3 linked regions of the Drosophila melanogaster genome follow. The protein of the gene in region 2 interacts with the protein of the main gene of each other region in a pairwise test. Each region holds a gene or a part of one and is shown on either strand. Other genes may lie near its edges.

The links. Proteins that work in one complex are often made in the same cells at the same time.
Region 1: the proteins of CG15080 (region 2) and garz interact in a two-hybrid assay, tested with the Drosophila melanogaster proteins (one large-scale study listed by BioGRID).
Region 3: the proteins of CG15080 (region 2) and RnrS interact in a two-hybrid assay, tested with the Drosophila melanogaster proteins (one large-scale study listed by BioGRID).

The regions. Positions count from the first base shown.
Region 1 is NT_033778.4:12,324,063-12,330,090, reverse strand, and holds the start of garz (gartenzwerg), read right to left. Parts: upstream 3,732-6,028; 5' UTR 3,418-3,731; coding exon 3,316-3,417; intron 3,253-3,315; coding exon 3,054-3,252; intron 2,999-3,053; coding exon 2,013-2,998; intron 1,952-2,012; coding exon 971-1,951; intron 901-970; coding exon 692-900; intron 628-691; coding exon 401-627; intron 342-400; coding exon 1-341. Other genes in the region: CG8841 (uncharacterized protein), read left to right, coding at 4,191-5,433, 5,504-6,028.
Region 2 is NT_033778.4:18,780,962-18,786,908, reverse strand, and holds the start of CG15080 (uncharacterized protein), read right to left. Parts: upstream 3,611-5,947; 5' UTR 3,231-3,610; intron 1-3,230.
Region 3 is NT_033778.4:11,981,914-11,987,753, reverse strand, and holds RnrS (ribonucleoside diphosphate reductase small subunit), read left to right. Parts: upstream 1-2,360; 5' UTR 2,361-2,487; coding exon 2,488-2,538; intron 2,539-2,686; coding exon 2,687-2,935; intron 2,936-3,443; coding exon 3,444-4,325; 3' UTR 4,326-4,609; downstream 4,610-5,840. Other genes in the region: rho-7 (rhomboid-7), read left to right, coding at 253-473, 528-727, 792-882; CG34231 (uncharacterized protein), read right to left, coding at 1,040-1,293, 1,347-1,491, 1,591-1,683; GalT1 (beta1,3-galactosyltransferase 1), read left to right, coding at 5,030-5,318, 5,383-5,840. UniProt on the Drosophila melanogaster protein: Provides the precursors necessary for DNA synthesis. Catalyzes the biosynthesis of deoxyribonucleotides from the corresponding ribonucleotides.

The DNA.
Region 1 (6,028 bases), 6.5 Mb from region 2:
GGCCTTTCCGTTCGCCTCACAAAAGTCTTCCACTTCGATCAATGATTTTGGCAGCAACTTTAGACGGAAAAGCTGCAGATATAGGTCCAAAATGTGTTTCCAGCTCTCTCTTAAGCAATCGCCGTAGTCGTGAACCAATAGAAACACCGTTCGCATGGCAGCCTGAGCCTTTCCGTTCAATCCAAAGTTCACAGCTTGCTGGGTTTCATTGTTCGCCGGAGCGGGCTCATGCTGTTCTACGCTGCTCAGCAGCGTTGTGAATTTGCAGAGAGTTAAAACGAGGGCATCGAAGTCCGAATGCAGATTATAGTGCGCCGATATGGCAGCGGATTTGCTGAAACCTGAAATGTAATCGTAATGTGAGATGTGAATGGTAATTATTAGATGTTTATGTACGTACCTGCTAGAGTTCTTTGGTAGCCCGTTTCAGTGCTTTTATCAAACATAAAGCTTAGGGCGCTCAGAGAAGCACCCCACACAATATTGAAGATCTCCACGTCGTATGATGCGTCATGCACATAGTGAAAATGTCCATCGTGCGTGTCTCCTCGTCGAAGCAGTACTTTCCATTGATAATTTTCACGCACCAGACCCGTTTGCTCTGCTGGCATAACGATCTCTTCGTTCCTTAAATAATTAATAATCGGAAATATAAGCAAATGAGAGTGACGCTATATGTACTAAAGCTTACTTGATTGCATTAAAGACTTGAGCCAGCATTTCTTGATCGAAATCTTCGCCACCGTTTAGACCACGCAAATTCTTAGTGAAGTCCTCGAGCGTCATTGGAACATTTAAACGCTTCGCGTTCGAGTTGTGCTGATCCATGTTCAGCATGATGATGGCATAGGCCAAGCGAAAAGCAGCGTCTACGTTGGCAAACGGATCTTGGTTTTGTTTCTATATTGGTGGGATACATACATGATTAATATCAGAGACTGCAAGTATTTTAGTAGATGTGTATACTCACATGCCAATGATCAGAAAAGTGTTCCAGCACCAAAAAGATCAATGGAGCCTCTCCGGGCAATCTGAAGGTCTCCAGATAAAGACGCAATGCTTGATCCACTCGAAGACCAGTGAAATCAAACGAGTCCACAAAATTAATTAGAATCTTAGAGTCGACGTTTTTCTTTTTCGAGATATATTCGCCAATCATTTTTTTATCGAGCCCGGGATTTTCTCGAAGGAACAGGGCCACCTGCATGGGATCAAGCTCGGCATTTAGGATGCCGTGTTCTTGCAGATACTGGATTCCTTTCTCTGGACGCTGATTAAATCGCTCTGTGCCTTGGGATAGCAGACGCTTCTTCTGTTTGACCTTGGCCAGCTGTTCACTGGTTATTCCCACTCCCTCTCCGCCAGATTGTAGTCGTAGTCGATGTGAGCTCGCATTTATAAAGCTTGCGATGTTCTCCACTTTCTCTTCTGCAGCTACACTATTGCCAGAATCAATTACGATTCCCTCCAATCCGCTGTTGTGGCGAGAATGGCGGCTGCCACCTGTTGCTGGGGCAGCTTCTGGCAAGGACTCTCTGTTGTTGCTGCTATTCTTGCTCGCGGCACAATTTCGCTCGATACTGTCTATCACACTTAACAGGGTGTCCATTGAGATAATGTGGGTGCTATAAACTGCATTCGTTGCTGACAGCGTATACTTGCTCAGTAGGTTTGTCAAACTTTCAAACATATCCGTGCAGTACAAGTCACAATCGTAGTTGATATACAATTCCGTGACGAAGCCGGGAATGCGCCACAACTGCAGTAGATTGTCCAGAGCGAGTTCTCGCATTTCGTAGGGCGTCTTGGGATTATCGCTAGCAATAATCTCGCTCAATTTTCTAAGGTAGGCTTCCAGCTGAAACTTGAGATGTCCGCGGAGAGACTCGAAAAGCAAAAAACAGAGCTGCAAATCGGCGGCAAAGATGCTAAGCCGCTCTGAGCTGAGAAGCTGTAGGGAAAGGAAAGAGTTAGGTCAGAAATAACTAACGAAGCAATTAAGAGTCCCTTACCGATATTAAGTTTCTGCATAAGTCGTCCTTAACCAGCTCCAGCAAGCCCTCATACTTTCCAATATTATCGGCTGCGACTTCAAAAGCTACAGTAAGTAGACTAAGACCCGTGTGCATCATGCTATCCGAGTTCTGCTTATCCAGAGGATTGCAGAGGATTATGAGGAATCGGAACAACTCCTGGATGAAGGGCAGGCCATAAGGGGATAGTGATGTTACATCGTGATCGGTGGACTGCTGTGTAAAACGGACGCCCACCGAGTTGATGTACTCGCTACTATTTGCCTCGGCCAGGGTGCTGGTTGCTTCACCCGTTTCGCCGTCCAGCAAGGGCTCCGATTCAGTCGACTCCACTTGAATAACAGGAGTCTCCGGGACAGTGGTTTCATCTTCCCCCGTGCTCGCCGTTGTTGTTGGTGTCTGCGTAATCTTGCCCTGCATGTCCAATATGTTTCCCGCTGGACTGGCGGGTGTGGTGGCCAATATGGGTGCCTTCAAGTGCCCTGGCACCGTCAGGTTGGCAGACTGCGGTGTTTGAGGCGGTTCCTCCACTGCTGACGATTTCCTGGGTGCTGTCTGGGCTTGGGCAACCGTCTTACGCTTTAGTTTTTCTTGGGTAGCTCCGCTGGCAGCATCGCCGATAGTAAATCGCTTCTGGAGCATGGTGTCACTTCGCTCTTCGGCGAACTGGGGAAGGCGCATGAAGAAGAGCAGCACCATGTCCTTGAGCGATTTTTCCGCCGAGCGACGAAGCAGTTCACTCAGCCTCGGCTCGAAGGAGATCTTGAAGCAGCTGAGCATCACCTCGCACATGGACACATTGCTGACGGCGGCTCCTTCGGGACTGCGGATAAGCGTGTGCAGCACCTCAATCACTCGCATAAAGGTGACACCATCCGAGGACTGATCGGTGCCCATAAAGCGGGCATGTGTCACAGCATCGGCAATGCGCTCCACAATGTCAGCCAGATTTGGAGACGTGGGATCTGTGGATAGGTACAGAATGAGCAAATGCAGAGGGTAAGCACTAAATCATAATACCTATTAGCCCGTAAGACAATAATTTGTTAACCGAGGCCAAGGCTAGACTAGTCAACGGACCCGTGGCGTCCGCCGTGCGAATCACCTCAAGAAACGGAGCCAGGAAGACCTGAGGCTCGATCTGACGCAGGTCCTCGATCCGATTTAGCTCATGCTTGAGGTCAATGAACAGCTTCAGCAGCGAGTCATTCTCGTCGTCCTGTGGATGTGCAAAAGGGCCATATACTTTCTATTCGCAGTGAGCATTAGGGGCACTATTTACCACGTAGGCGGTGGCATTCCAACGCGTTCCACGTCGCATCGCCGTCATCAGGGTGGCCATTTCGCCCCGCACCACGTAGATGCCGTTGCCTGGAAGCGCCATGGTGTCCGCGTGTCCTCCGTTGCGGTGTCTCTACGACTGCAGCTAGTTGGCTTCCAGTTCCAGGGCTAGCGCTGAAAATTGCAGTTTTCGTGGGGCAGGGCAGCTCCTCCTCCCTTCCCGACGACCTTCGCATATGTTTTGGCACTCGCCACTTGCCCACTCGCACACTCACGCTGCCTGGACGAATCTGGGCGTGCTGCCTAGTTGGGCATCTCTCACTAATCCTAACTAATCGAACTGGTAAGCTGCTAATTTTTGGTGACGTTTACGTGTCGTTTATGTTCTTGTGTGCAGTCCGAATATTTTGCACAAGCGTCTTCCAACACCGGCGCGGCAGTTCGTCGCTTCGCAGCACTGGCACAGCTGTAGATGCCAACTCGATGCGGAAATTTCAATAGATTAAATTGAAATACAGCTGCAAGCGTATATAAAAAAAATATAACCTTGTTTTTAAAATAAAATATGTTGCCAAGCTGTCGATCAAATTGATTTAATCAAATTGATATTTGAATATGAGGGCCAAAACAGGTGAGCATAATCAGTCACGCACGCATCTTCAGTCGTGAGCGTTACACCCACCACTAAGTTACACTGGCATTTGGTGCGTAGGCGAATTTCTAATTGGAATCGTTCGATTTTTGAAAAAGAATCGCATTAAATGCAAAGCATTCCTGTTCCAGACTACTGCGCACACTTGCACTGAGGCGATCGAGCACGGGGCAGGTGGATTTACAGGACTCAGCGATACCAAAGCAGCCCACAGGCCGAACAATATGGGAAACACGGACTCCAAGTTGAACTTTCGCAAGGCGATTGTGCAGCTGACGCAGAAGAACCAGAAGATCGACCCCAGCGACGAGCAGTTCTGGGAGCAGTTCTGGCAGGGCCACCAGACGACGCTGGAGGATGTGTTCGCGCTGGTCACCTCGAGCGAGATTCGCCAGATACGGAACGAGAATCCAGCCAACCTGGCCACCTTATGCTACAAGGCGGTGGAAAAGCTTGCCCAGGCGGTAGACAGCAGTTGTCGCACGCAGGCGGAGCAGCAGTGCGTTTTGAACTGCGTGCGGCTGCTCGTCCGGTGTCTGCCGTACATTTTCGAGGACGAAAAGTGGCGCGACTTCTTCTGGAGCAGCCTGCCATCGCAGGACAAGACCATGCCGTTGGCTCAGTCACTGCTCAATGCCACCTGCGACCTTCTTTTCTGTCCCGACTTCACGGTTACGGCCACGCGGCGTGCGGGCCCCGAGAAGGCCGAGGAGTTGGCGAACATCGATAGCTGCGAGTACATTTGGGAAGCGGGCGTGGGTTTCGCCCAGTCACCGCCCCACAACGCCCACATGGAGCGCAGGCGCACGGAGTTGCTGAAGCTATTACTCACCTGCTTCTCGGAGCCCATGTACCGATCGCCGCAGCAGTCCGAGGAGCCCAACAAGTGGATAGCATATTTCACCTCGGCCGACAATCGCCATGCCCTGCCGCTGTTCACCTCGTTTCTGAACACCGTGTGCTCCTACGATCCGGTGGGCTTCGGCGTGCCCTACAATCACCTGCTGTTTGCAGACACCACAGAGCCCCTGGTGGAAGCGTGCCTTCAACTGCTCATTGTCACCTTGGATCACGATATGGTGGTGCAGCAGCAACTCACACAACCCGGACAGGCGTCCTACGACGAGGGCAATTGCGGCGACAACTTGTTCATTAACTATCTTTCGAGGGTTCACCGCGACGAGGACTTTCACTTTGTGCTCAAGGGCATAACCAGGCTGCTGAACAACCCACTGGTCCAGAACTATTTGCCCAATTCCACAAAGCGACTTCATTGCCACCAGGAGCTGCTTATTTTGTTTTGGAAAATATGCGACTACAACAAAAAGTTTCTGTATTTTGTGCTAAAGAGCTCCGATGTTCTGGACATCCTGATTCCCATTCTGTATCACCTAAACTACTCCCGAGCGGATCAATCTCGAGTGGGCTTGATGCATATTGGAGTATTCATACTGTTGCTCCTATCGGGTGAGTCATATGTCATATGTTTTGTTCGTGGAATCAGTGCACTTACACTTAAATAAATGTTTATTGATAGGTGAGCGAAACTTTGGGGTTCGGCTTAACAAAGCATACTCCGCCACGGTGCCCATGGATATACCTGTGTTTACTGGAACCCATGCGGACTTACTCATCACTGTGTTCCACAAAATAATAGCCACTGGCCACCAGAGGCTGCAGCCGCTTTTCGATTGTCTGCTGACCATTCTGGTAAATGTCTCACCATATCTGAAAACCCTCTCGATGGTGGCTAGTGTAAAGATGTTGCATCTCCTGGAGGCTTTTAGCACACCCTGGTTTCTGCTATCGGCACCCAGCAATCATCATTTGGTGTTTTTCCTGCTGGAGATCTTCAATAACATTATACAGTATCAGTTCGATGGCAACTCGAATCTAGTCTACACCATAATTCGAAAGCGTCATGTGTTCCATGCCATGGCAAATCTCCCGACCGATATGGCTGGCATAGCCAAGTGCCTGAGTGGCCGTAAAACAGGTGGAAAGTTTAACTTGCCGCGGGTACCACAGCGAAGAACGCCAGCTGTGTCCCAGGAACTGCCCT
Region 2 (5,947 bases):
GATTTTTCTTCTATTTTTTTTTTTTTTTGGAAACGCCTGCGGATCTGCAGCTGGTTTACTAGAGCGCAAAAAACCAAGAATGTGCGTGACCCATGTGAATCACTATTGGCAAATCAATTGAAACTGTGCCAACTGTCCGCCAAAAAACTTGCACAACTCGCACATTAAATATTGACTGATTGTATCGCTCGGGTGCTGAAATCGCTGATCTTTCAGTTACAGTTATGGCCAATTAGCGTGACTGGCTAACGATAAGTCTAGGATTGATGGCCACCATATACTGCATGCATATTGTTTTTGCTGCTGGGCCGCCGAACGCATAAATTATGCAAAGCCAATGAACTCGTCGCCAAACAGAAAATGCAGAGAAATACAAATCCGAAACGAAAGCGACAATGAAATGCACTTTTCTGTCTGATGGCTGCTATTGCTAGGGGGCGTTGCTAGCCAGGCCTGCCGGAAAGAGCCACTCGATACCAGAAGGAAAACGGACGGAAAAACGCTGATTTCTTGTTCGACTAATTCCTCAAATTTTATGCCACAGCGACCTCGAAGAAATGTTTGAAATTATTAAACGAAATGTAAATTTCACGCAACGCAGAAAAATGAAAAAACAAAAACTTTCATTTCTCGCTGCTTTCCAAATGAGGTAAGTGGCTGTTTAGCTGGTGGAGGTGGCTTTTTGGTTTTGGTTTGGTATTGGCGGCACCTGCTCAGCAAACCAAAACATGCCGCAAGCATTTAGCTTGCGTAATCCCAAGAATTTATGCTCGAGCATTTGAAAGCGAAAGTATTTCTCCCTCGACATTTTGGTATGCGGGGGCGCTGTGGTTGCGCAACTCGTAATAAAAGCCGGATAACCGGATACAAGCGAAATTAGTGCCTTAAATATCACTTATCACCTGGGACATCGCAAATCGAATTGCGCAAATGATGGGCCAAGCTAATTACAAAACTATTGCCACAGTCGTCGTCGCCACTGAGCCGCAGAAAAGTGTCCCAAAACAATGTGACAATTGCAACAGAGCAATACTTAAGGTAGCTGCTAGTAGCTACTCTATATATATGAAAAACCATAAAGCAAGCGCTGACAAAACAAAGCAGCCGCCAAATGGAGCAGCTGAAGAAAGCAAGAGTGGCTCGGCAAATGTATAGCCACAAGTACCCGTACTTGTTGGCCACGTCTCGAGTGTGGGCCTCATTCTGGCCCAGACCAAACCAGACTTGTGCAACTCGGCAACTTGGCGAGGGTATCCACATAAACCGCCTGCCGCAGATAGATATATATACATATATACAGATATATATGTGCCCAGATGAACATTAGCAATCAATCCACATCCGTGACCAAGACACGGAGTGTGAGAAAAAATTCAGTAGGCCAAGATACTTCAACTTGTCGGTCTAGAAGGAAAACACAGAGACAAAACGGAGCAAAAAGCCCCAAATGGTTGCCTTGCTCTACCAGCCGGGTGCTGACTAATCAACTGTGTGGGTATTCCAGGGGTGCCGAAGGAGGATCAGGGGGTCTTACGGAGGCCGTACATGCAACTGCAAATCACGATTTAGTTCCAGCGAACCAGCAATAAATGCCCGGCCTGGAAGCCATTTGAATTGATTTTTTAGTTTTTACCTCCGCTTAAATGCACTTTGAATCTGATATTGCTGAATGCATTGCAATTACTCACATTTAGAATTCAGTGCGTGTCACTAGTGCGAGATAATTATGGTTTTGAAAGACCGCTGGGCATATTCGATATTGATCTTTGAAATTGAAATTCTCTTTGGTATGGCTAAATCATCTGGGATAATTTAAGTTGTAATATAAACAAAGGTATGGTTGCATTGATTTCTCAATTCGTGAGTAATCAACACCAAAACTTGTGCGCATTAGGATCTGCAACGCATTCCATCGAACAAAGCCAACTAATGAAGCAAGTTTGTGTCTTAAGTCTTTTGTTTGGCCCGCTGAGAAAGTCGTAATCCGGGCTCAACGCTTGACAAATTGAACATTATGCGGTTGAGTAATTGAAAGCCGTGAAAGACGAAGACCACACGGGTAGGATCGCTGGGCACGTGCTAAGTGACGAGTGATGGAAGCTTCTGCAGCTACGCAAAGTCATTCGCACGTTTCACTTTCATCGGAGGAAGGTGAGGGAGGGGTAGGAATATGAATTGGCGGCGGAGGAGGCTAGTGGCAAATAAACACATCAGGCGCCACATTAAGACATGACAATAAAGAAAAAGTGAGTCTGAGCAGTATTATATTTTCTTGACACTTTCGCGAGTTTTGTTTCGCCACTTCCCCCCTCACCACTCCGCTGCCAACCCATCCCTCTTTTATATCGGCTGGCATTGGCCGATGCGGCGGCTACGTGATTTCAGCCCGTTGCCAAAGGCTACGATATGGACTTTGCTGGACGTGCGACAGGCAATTGGCCGGCCGGCGGCCATCGCCTGCGTTTATTGTAATTAGAAAGTATTTAATTTCGAAAACGCTGTCCGCTCGCACATAAAAAAAAAAACAAAGTTCGCATAAATATAAATAAAGAAATACATATATAAAACGAATAAGACGCTACGGCGTAATTTATGATTTCCCTCTTCTGTTTGCCCTCATGTTAAAATGACAAACAAACGAATAAGTGTACACATTAGTTCCGTTAAAGATCAGATGCCACATCGAAGATTAGGGAAGAGAAATGTCTGGCCCTCGGAAGTGGGGTCTGTATGCAAATTGGCCTGATAAACAAGATTTTTCTTGTACGAAACATAAAATTTCTCCAGGTGAAAATTGGGTTAATGAAGTGGCAATGGAGATAGACTTAGAGATGTAGATGAAAAACCCAAAACGAACCCACAGAATACTGATGGACCAGTTTCTTTTCTTTTGGTCAGGGGTCTGGCCACCTTATCTTTTAACGAGGAAGTCTGCCCATAAAGCTTGACTCAACTTGACTCTCTAGAGGATGGACGGTTGTTTTGGTTAGATGTATGGTCCATAAGTCTTTGGGCAAACAAATTGCATGCCAGTTAACGAGTGTCGGTGGGCAAAAACAAAATGAAATTTCCAAATAATTAGAGCATGAAAAAATAAACAGCAAAATTGCCAAGACAGTCGAATGCGTTGAGTGTGTGGTTAGTTGAATGGAGAGCTGAAATTTCTATTCGCCTTTTTTGGCAAAAAAAAAAAAAAAATAAAATAAATAAAAAATAAAAACCCCACTTACCACTCTCCTCTATTGCTTCTTCTTCTTCTTCCTGAACGGCAGCTGTTGTTTCTCTTTCACTTGGCTTAATTTAATTAAGATCCTAACTTGCCCAACTCGCCAAATTAGCAGCAATTCAAGCGTTTTACTTTTATTTTTGTATATTAATTATATTTTCGATTTCTTGAAATTCACTTTGACTTTATCCACTTGAGACGTCAGGAAGCTCACGCACTTTCGGCAAAAGATGCAAAATCAAATGTCGTTGGTACCACTGTGCGTATACTCGATGCGTATGAGTGTTACACTTACAAATCAAGTTATTACTATCTTGCGTTAACAGTTAGCCGGAGCTGGTTTTTAGACGCGTCTGCATCGTTGGCGTGCCGTTAACAGACTGAAGAAATGAAAAGCGTCGCGGGCCAAAGTAAGTAAGAGTGGTTCGCTCGTGGTTTTCATCCAACTGCCTCCGTCGAAGTCGACGCTGGCCGAGCAGTTAGCAGATCAGTAGGCAGCGCAGTCGCAGTCAGCGTTAACGGCGCAACTAAAGCGGCTTTAACAGCTTTTGGGCCAACAAAAGACTTGGTCAAACAGAGCGGTATAGCTCCTAGCTAAAAATGATCCTCCAATGATTTGTTGTGGTTAATTGAAATTAACAAAACGGGGATGGGGATAGAGTTTTGCCAAGGGGGAGTGTCCACAAGAATGCACTAAATGCAAATCAAGTCGGCCATAAATGCTAACTTGTTTTAGCGTTAGTTGCGGCGATGCTGTTCCAGTTTTGCAATCTTTGCTGGCGACAAGTTTTTACCACATTTGCTGGGAAAATCGATCCGACTGTGTGGGGGTCTTATGAATCGTGCTACACCCCTCGCTGATATATGTGATATATGTGTATATGTGCGGCTATATGGCCAGACATAACAACAATTCCATAATTCTGACTCAGTGCCATGTGGCATTCGAGCCGTGCATCTAGCTTTTAATTGGCTTTTTAGGCTTTGCTCTGCAGCCAAGGTCGTTTTCTTGCTACACAAATTCCATTATGAGTTTAATTGAATTGTTTGTTTTGGTTTTTTTTTCTTCTCTCGTACGCGTTTCCTCGTATTTTTGTTTGTTTTGTTAGGAAACCTATAAACCGATTGACATTTAGCAATTAAAACGCGTAGAAACCATTTTTTCTTCGCTGGCCTTTGCCGCATTTCTTTTGTTACAAATTGGTTACAAACTTTATAAAACCTATAATAACAAAAAGTGCGAAATTGGGATTAAATATGTGGTTGAAATGTTTGCAATCAAGTAGCGCAGGTAGAAATAAATATTTAAATCTTTTTATAATATTTTCCAGATAATATTTTGGTGTTTAAAATACATTTTTGTGCTCAGCTTGTTGCCAAATATTTCTTTGGTCTGCTAGAATTGGCCTTAAAAAGAGGTCTTTTTCAACTTCTTTTGGGGCAATTAAAATATTCTCATGCCGGCAGCCGCACAATTTCCGTTAAGCAAACAATTGTCTAAGTGAGACGTTTATGGATCGTGGAAATCAAGTTAATTAGCATATCGTTCAGCGTCCGCCATTATCCATTATGCATTGGGTAACCCAAACGAGATGCTCGGACGCTTTTCAATCGCATTTTTTTTTCAATTTCAATTTTCCAGCGGCAATTGCGACGGGCGATGAGTGCATTGACAGGAGCAGCAACATCGTCGCCGCAAATCCAATCAGTCAACTTGTCATAACGCCTGCCCACCTGTCTGTCCGTGTGCCTCACCTGCCGCCTCAGGTGGGCGTGAGTTATGTGCGGACTGATGACGTACGAGGAAGGTTTCCACCTCATGGCCTAAGTTATGTGACGGGATCTCTTGGCGTTCGGAGATCATTCAACCGCGACTCGCGTCTTGAACTTCCGCTGAATGTTATTTAGTTGGCTTGCAACTCTGTTTCTAGAACAAAGCACTTTCACCTGCCTCGCAGATAGAGAATCAAATTCAATCGAATTCAATTGGCAGCCAATGGTTGGGGGACGGCAATTAGCGTTGACCTTTTCACAGGTGTCTCACTGAAATGGCTCACACGCCCAAGGTGGCGCTGCCAAATGGCAAAGGTAACAGATCGCGACCTTCAGGCCCCTGTTTATGAATGGCTTTTCCCAAGCTCTTTGCGCATTTTCCGCGACGTATGCGGAAAAGAGTAACGAGATTTGCATAAAATTCGACACGAATATTTCCCACACTCCGACATAAAATAGATCAACTTAATTGGACATGTTTTTATGGCATAATTCAGACCAATTAGACGTAGAATCTTTTGGGCCAGGTGCAGATAAACCGTCGCTTGTGATTCGCAACTGATGCTGATGCAACGCTGACAAGAAGACATAAATATCACTTATGCAATCGAAAGGAGAGAGCTGGATTGTCGATGCGTCGACGCATCGAGAGCCAAATGCATTTAGGCTCACGAAAGTAAGACAACTTTTTGCCGCTGCTCTGCCCCTCGGGTGATGCCCAAAATGCTGGCTATTTGGTGCTTTTGGCCATAAAACGCTTCCTGCTCCCGCTGCAATGCACTGCAGCAGTGCGCTGGTCAAAATGTGGTCGAAATCTGGAAAACTGGATTGCCAGCGGAGAGCCTCTCGAGCCGAGAGGCATCGCTAGTTTCCTTCCTTGTGTGTGGATTTGGGTTAGCCAAACATTTATCTGCCGCTCGAGCTGTTGGTTTTTATGTTGATGTCGCC
Region 3 (5,840 bases), 6.8 Mb from region 2:
ACGAATAGTAGTCGACCGGAAATCCATGTTATTTATGGTTATATAAGAAAGTGGTCGAATTTCTTCTAGTTATGTCAGCTTGTTATTTTCCATCTTTTTTATGTAAACTTTTGGTTTTACCTGAATAACAAATGTTCAAATGTTAAGTTCAAAAAGTTTTGGACTTATAAACTATTTTTTACTTTGTAGTATTTTATGATATTTGTTTTTTACAACCCCCCTAACTAATTGTGTTTGATACCCTTCTCGCAGAAGTCGTCTGCTGGCCCATGTTCCTGTCCACATTCAGCCATTACTCGGCTATGCACCTTTTCGCCAATATGTACGTGATGCACAGCTTTGCCAACGCTGCGGCTGTATCGTTGGGTAAAGAGCAATTCTTAGCGGTCTACCTCAGCGCCGGCGTCTTCTCCAGTCTGATGAGCGTGCTCTACAAGGCGGCCACGAGTCAGGCGGGGATGTCCCTGGGTGCGGTAAGACAGCCTTTATTCCACGTAGTATCTATAAACTTAAAGCTCTTCCCTTAGTCTGGAGCTATAATGACACTGCTGGCCTATGTATGCACCCAGTATCCGGACACACAACTTAGCATTCTCTTTCTACCCGCGTTGACATTCTCCGCTGGAGCTGGTATTAAAGTGCTAATGGGCATCGACTTTGCTGGCGTCGTGATGGGCTGGAAGTTCTTCGATCACGCAGCGCATTTGGGCGGCGCCATGTTTGGCATGTAAGTTTGGCGTGTATGTTTATACCATCACAGGTTGTCTTATTAATCCTACGGTAATTTACAGCTTTTGGGCCACGTATGGGGCACAGATATGGGCAAAGCGCATTGGTCTACTGAATTACTACCATGACCTGCGCCGGACGAAGCAGAAATAGTACAGGAGGCTTGGGGATTCGCCAAGTGAACGGACGGGGAGCTGAGGCAATAGAGCGGTAGCGAGTAGCACTACGCTGTGTCAATAAGAGTGACATCGTTCTGCCTTAGAAGTTCATTGAAATCAGTTAAGTTGAATAAATCGTTGACATCCTGTACTCATGTGGTTTCCCGGCTCTTTTTTGGAACTTGTGTTTGATCCTTCTGATTTCTTCGAATACGAAAAGCTACTTCGTGCCTGCGCTGCTGAATCTTCTCCCTAAGTTCCTCAAGGGATTCTCGTTCTGGAGCGTATGATATGTGCAAGATTCCACCATAGAACTGATGAGCATCGAGCATTTTCTTGGCTCTTCTCGCCACCTCAAGGCGCTCGAACTTCACGGCAAACACATCTGTAAAAGCTTCCAGATCCACTGAAACAAAAGGAACACTATATAAAAAAGATCTTGAACAGGGATAATCATACTTTTTGAAGCCATCTCTGAAGTTACCGAAATACATGATTGCACTTTACCAAATCCTTGTAGTTTCGTCCTGAGATTAGCTTGAAGATTTATTTTAGGTACCCCAAAGATCAGCAAATGACGGGACTCACTAGCAACTGTATAAACCTACAAAGGATAAAAAACACAATAAAAGTACAATAAAACATTGCTATTACTATAAAGCTATTACTAAACTATTACTACTAAACATTACTATTTCCCCACCTTGACAGCTTTCAATTCGCGGCCCTGACGGTATTTCAATCTTGTAGTGCAGTATTCCAGACGTTTGTGGTGTTCAGAAGAAGAGGCTTCCATATTCAGGATATTAAAAACAAAACTACAACTAAACGGATTTGTTTATTATTATTTTCAAGTCCACGATTAAACGTACTTATCGATAAATATCAACAGCCAGCTGTTATGTTATTGTACTGTTATTTACATGATTCGCTGTAATGGAATTCATTCAAAGTTGTTGAATTGAGTATGTTAGCACCTGTTGCATTTCCAAATAATTCGAGATTTCCAAAAAAAAAATTAATTTTAAGTCAATGTCCTTGGAAAAAAATTTTAACTTTGTTTCACCTTGATTTTTTATCTAATTGTAGCAAGAGGACCAAATTTTTTCACTCAAAACTAATTAAGTGGCGTTTCATCAGCTGTTTTCTGGATTAGTCTAGGGTTGTCTCATTGCATGAAATATCGATGATAAAAAAATTTCAAAATTTATTTAGTATTTGAAACTATTAATATTAATATTTTTCAAGTGACAAGCTGGGAAGCTAAACATAAAATTGTGCAGTAAGGATTCGATTTATGGTTTAAGAAAAGAAAACTACCACCCCATAATTGCATTAGATTTACCCTAAATTTATAAAAAGTGAATTGACGCACTCGACAGCCCTGATTTTCCCATAGTTTTCCCATCACCAAAAATGGCGGCAAATCGAAACAGTTTGCCGCCCGGCATAAAACCCAATGTAGCTGTATTTCCCAGATCATTTGCCACACAACTTTCAAACTGTACACTTAATACACGTCGTGGTTTAAGTGAATTTTACCAGAGAATCAGAGAAGCGCCCCTACCTGCTAATAATAATCCATTCAAAAACATCTCAAATGGCGTCCAAGGAAAACATTGCTGACAACATGGAGAAGTTCTCGCTTAAGGTAATCGACACGCAAATAAAGTTCACAGCTATACATAGACGTAATACCGCGATCAGTGCGCTTGTGTTGATTTCCCTAGGGAAAAGTGCTACGCAGCGGAAAAATACTCATGCTTTAGTTGGCCTTCTTTGTTTTTCGTTGTTAACAGAGCCCGAGCAAGAAGATTCTGACGGATAGCACCAACAACGTTCGCAAGATGTCCATTGGACACGAGGCAAACGGACAGTTGGCCAAGGAGTCCTCCACCGTGAATGGCATCGGCAAGTCTGCCAATTCCCTCATGGAGAAGTCCGTAACCCCCTTCGACCCGTCGCTGGAGCCCCTTCTGCGCGAGAATCCCCGACGCTTCGTCATCTTTCCCATCCAGTACCACGACATCTGGCAGATGTACAAGAAGGTGTGTATACCATACATATAGCAAAACACTGTCCATTTGCATTGGTGGTGAAAATCTATTTTTTGGGCGGCAAAATATCAAAAGGGCGGGCATTTCGAGATAAAGCGCGCCAAAAGCCGGTCACGTACTCAACGTGGTTGATTACACGAATCAGACTTTATGATAGCTTCGTTTGGTTAAACAACCCCCTCCCACATTTCTCGACCCTCCCTTTCCGCTGATTCACTGCATCACGGTTTACTCAATGTCAACAATAGCCTTCGTTTTTGGCGGGAAATGCAGCACATAACGATCACATACTATACCATTTTATGTAGCCAATTACATTTCCCCGCCGCTTTTAATTGCTTTGTAGTAACTTTGTTTACATTTTAATTGCATTTTAATTGATAAGCTCGTTGTGCACGATGACATTTCTTGAAAACTTGTTAAAGTGGAAAATGAAAAATAATAAATTTATACAGTAATTATCTCTTTTAAAATTGTAACTTTTTTTTTTAATGTGCAGGCTGAGGCTTCTTTCTGGACTGTCGAGGAGGTGGATTTGTCCAAGGACCTTACTGATTGGCACCGCCTGAAGGACGACGAGCGCCATTTCATCTCGCACGTGCTTGCCTTCTTCGCCGCCTCCGACGGCATCGTAAACGAGAACCTGGTGGAGCGCTTCAGTCAGGAGGTGCAGATCACGGAGGCACGTTGCTTCTACGGCTTTCAGATCGCCATGGAGAACGTGCACTCGGAGATGTACAGTGTTTTGATCGACACTTACATCCGTGATCCACACCAGCGAGAGTACCTGTTTAACGCTATCGAAACGATGCCGGCTGTGAAGCGCAAGGCAGACTGGGCCCTGTCCTGGATCTCCTCCAAATCGGCCAACTTCGGGGAACGCATCATCGCCTTTGCCGCCGTGGAGGGCATCTTCTTCAGCGGCAGCTTCGCTTCCATTTTCTGGCTTAAGAAGCGAGGTCTGATGCCTGGATTGACCTTCTCCAACGAGCTTATCTCTCGCGACGAGGGCTTGCACTGCGACTTTGCCGTGCTGATGTTCCAACACCTGGTGCAGCGACCCAAGCGCGAGCGCATCATCGAGATCATCCGCGACGCGGTGGCCATTGAGCAGGAGTTCCTTACCGATGCCCTGCCCGTCAATTTGATTGGCATGAATTGCGACCTGATGTCCCAGTACATTGAGTTCGTAGCGGACCGTTTGCTCGTGGAGTTGGGCGTTGGAAAGATCTACAACACCAAAAACCCCTTTAACTTCATGGAGATGATATCGCTGGATGGAAAGACCAACTTTTTTGAGAAGAAGGTGGGGGAGTACCAGCGCATGGGAGTGGTCAGCAACCCCCTGGACAACGTGTTCACCCTGGACGCGGATTTCTAGGGCTGGCCCCGGACATCATTGTTGCAATTTAAACCTCTCAAGGGCTGGCTTCTCATCCTTTATATTTTAATCTGACGGCAATTATATGTAGTCCGTTTTAATTTTAACATAGGCTAAGAACAATCACAGACCTTCAACACATTCACCTAATCATTTACTTGGACCTCCAATTACGTTTATAATACTATCTACACACTTGACTTTTACGAGGAGCGTACCTTTTCCGAATTCATTGTACATACAACATTTTAAATAAATTTATACATAGACAATTATTAAGCACTACAAGTAAAATTGAGTTTTAATTATTCTGAAAAAAATCTTCAAAAATTACTGTTTATGCACGATTATATAATAAGAAAATCAATTTCAAAAAAATTTATAAAAAGGATTGGGAAAATTTAAGAATTTAAATAATTCGAATTTCAAATTTTCGATTTCAGTTATATATATGGTAGGTAAACTTATCGATAGTCACGGGCATTTTTACTATCAGCTGTGCTGAACAATCCCATTCGCTGTTTTTATCAATTTGGATAAAATTCTTGTTATTCAGTTATTACCATAAAAAGTATTAGATGTCAATAACAGGAGTGGGCGATTAAATCAACCCAATTCAGCTAGGCGCCCTAATAGTTGATAAAATGCGAACAGTGCATTAAATTGTAGGCGGAGGACCAGTGGCGATAAGTGAATCCAGTCACATGGACAGAAGGTGGAATCCAGAAAAAATCGAGGAGCAGAGCTCCCTCTTGGCAGCGGAATATTCCTCCAGCTCGGGAGCAGCTGCTTCCGGATCCGAGGACGAGACGGTCACCACTAGTGGAGCGCTACGCAGCAAAGCAAAGCTGAGGAAGCGGCAGCTAAGAAATCGCATGCCGCTTCCCAGGATGTTAAGACGCCTTGGCTGCTACACGCTGAGCGCCTTCCTAATCTGTGGGCTGCTCCTCGTCTACCTGCCGCTCGTCTACTTGGATGTACACAAGCGTAGTGGTAGGACAATGGTTTTCTTGATACCCGCATTTATTTTAAAAATGATCCATTGACGCTTTCACAGCTGGTCTGCCGGATTGGACGTCAGAGACCTCCCGCAGCATAGCTGACTACCTGGATATCGGGCTCAGTTCTGGCGTCATTGTTCCCAAGGACTTTTGCCGGAATAAGACCTTCCTGGTAATCGCCGTATGCACCGGCGTGGACAACTTCATTCAGCGACATACCATCCGTGAGACCTGGGGCAATACCACCGAGTTCAACTACCCAGCGTTTGGAAAGCTCCATGGTCATCTCAAGGGTCACTACCTGCCGCCACTGCCGGATCGCTTAAAGATGTACGGGGATTATTTGAGCGGCGAGGGGCAGTCTCTGACTGCCTCAGTGCGCATTGTTTTCATTGTAGGCCGCCAGAAAGATGAGGCCATGTTGGGCAATGAGACCCTGAATCGCATTCACATTGAATCGGAAAAGTACAACGACATCATTCAGGAGAACTTCGTGGATAGCTACAACAACCTG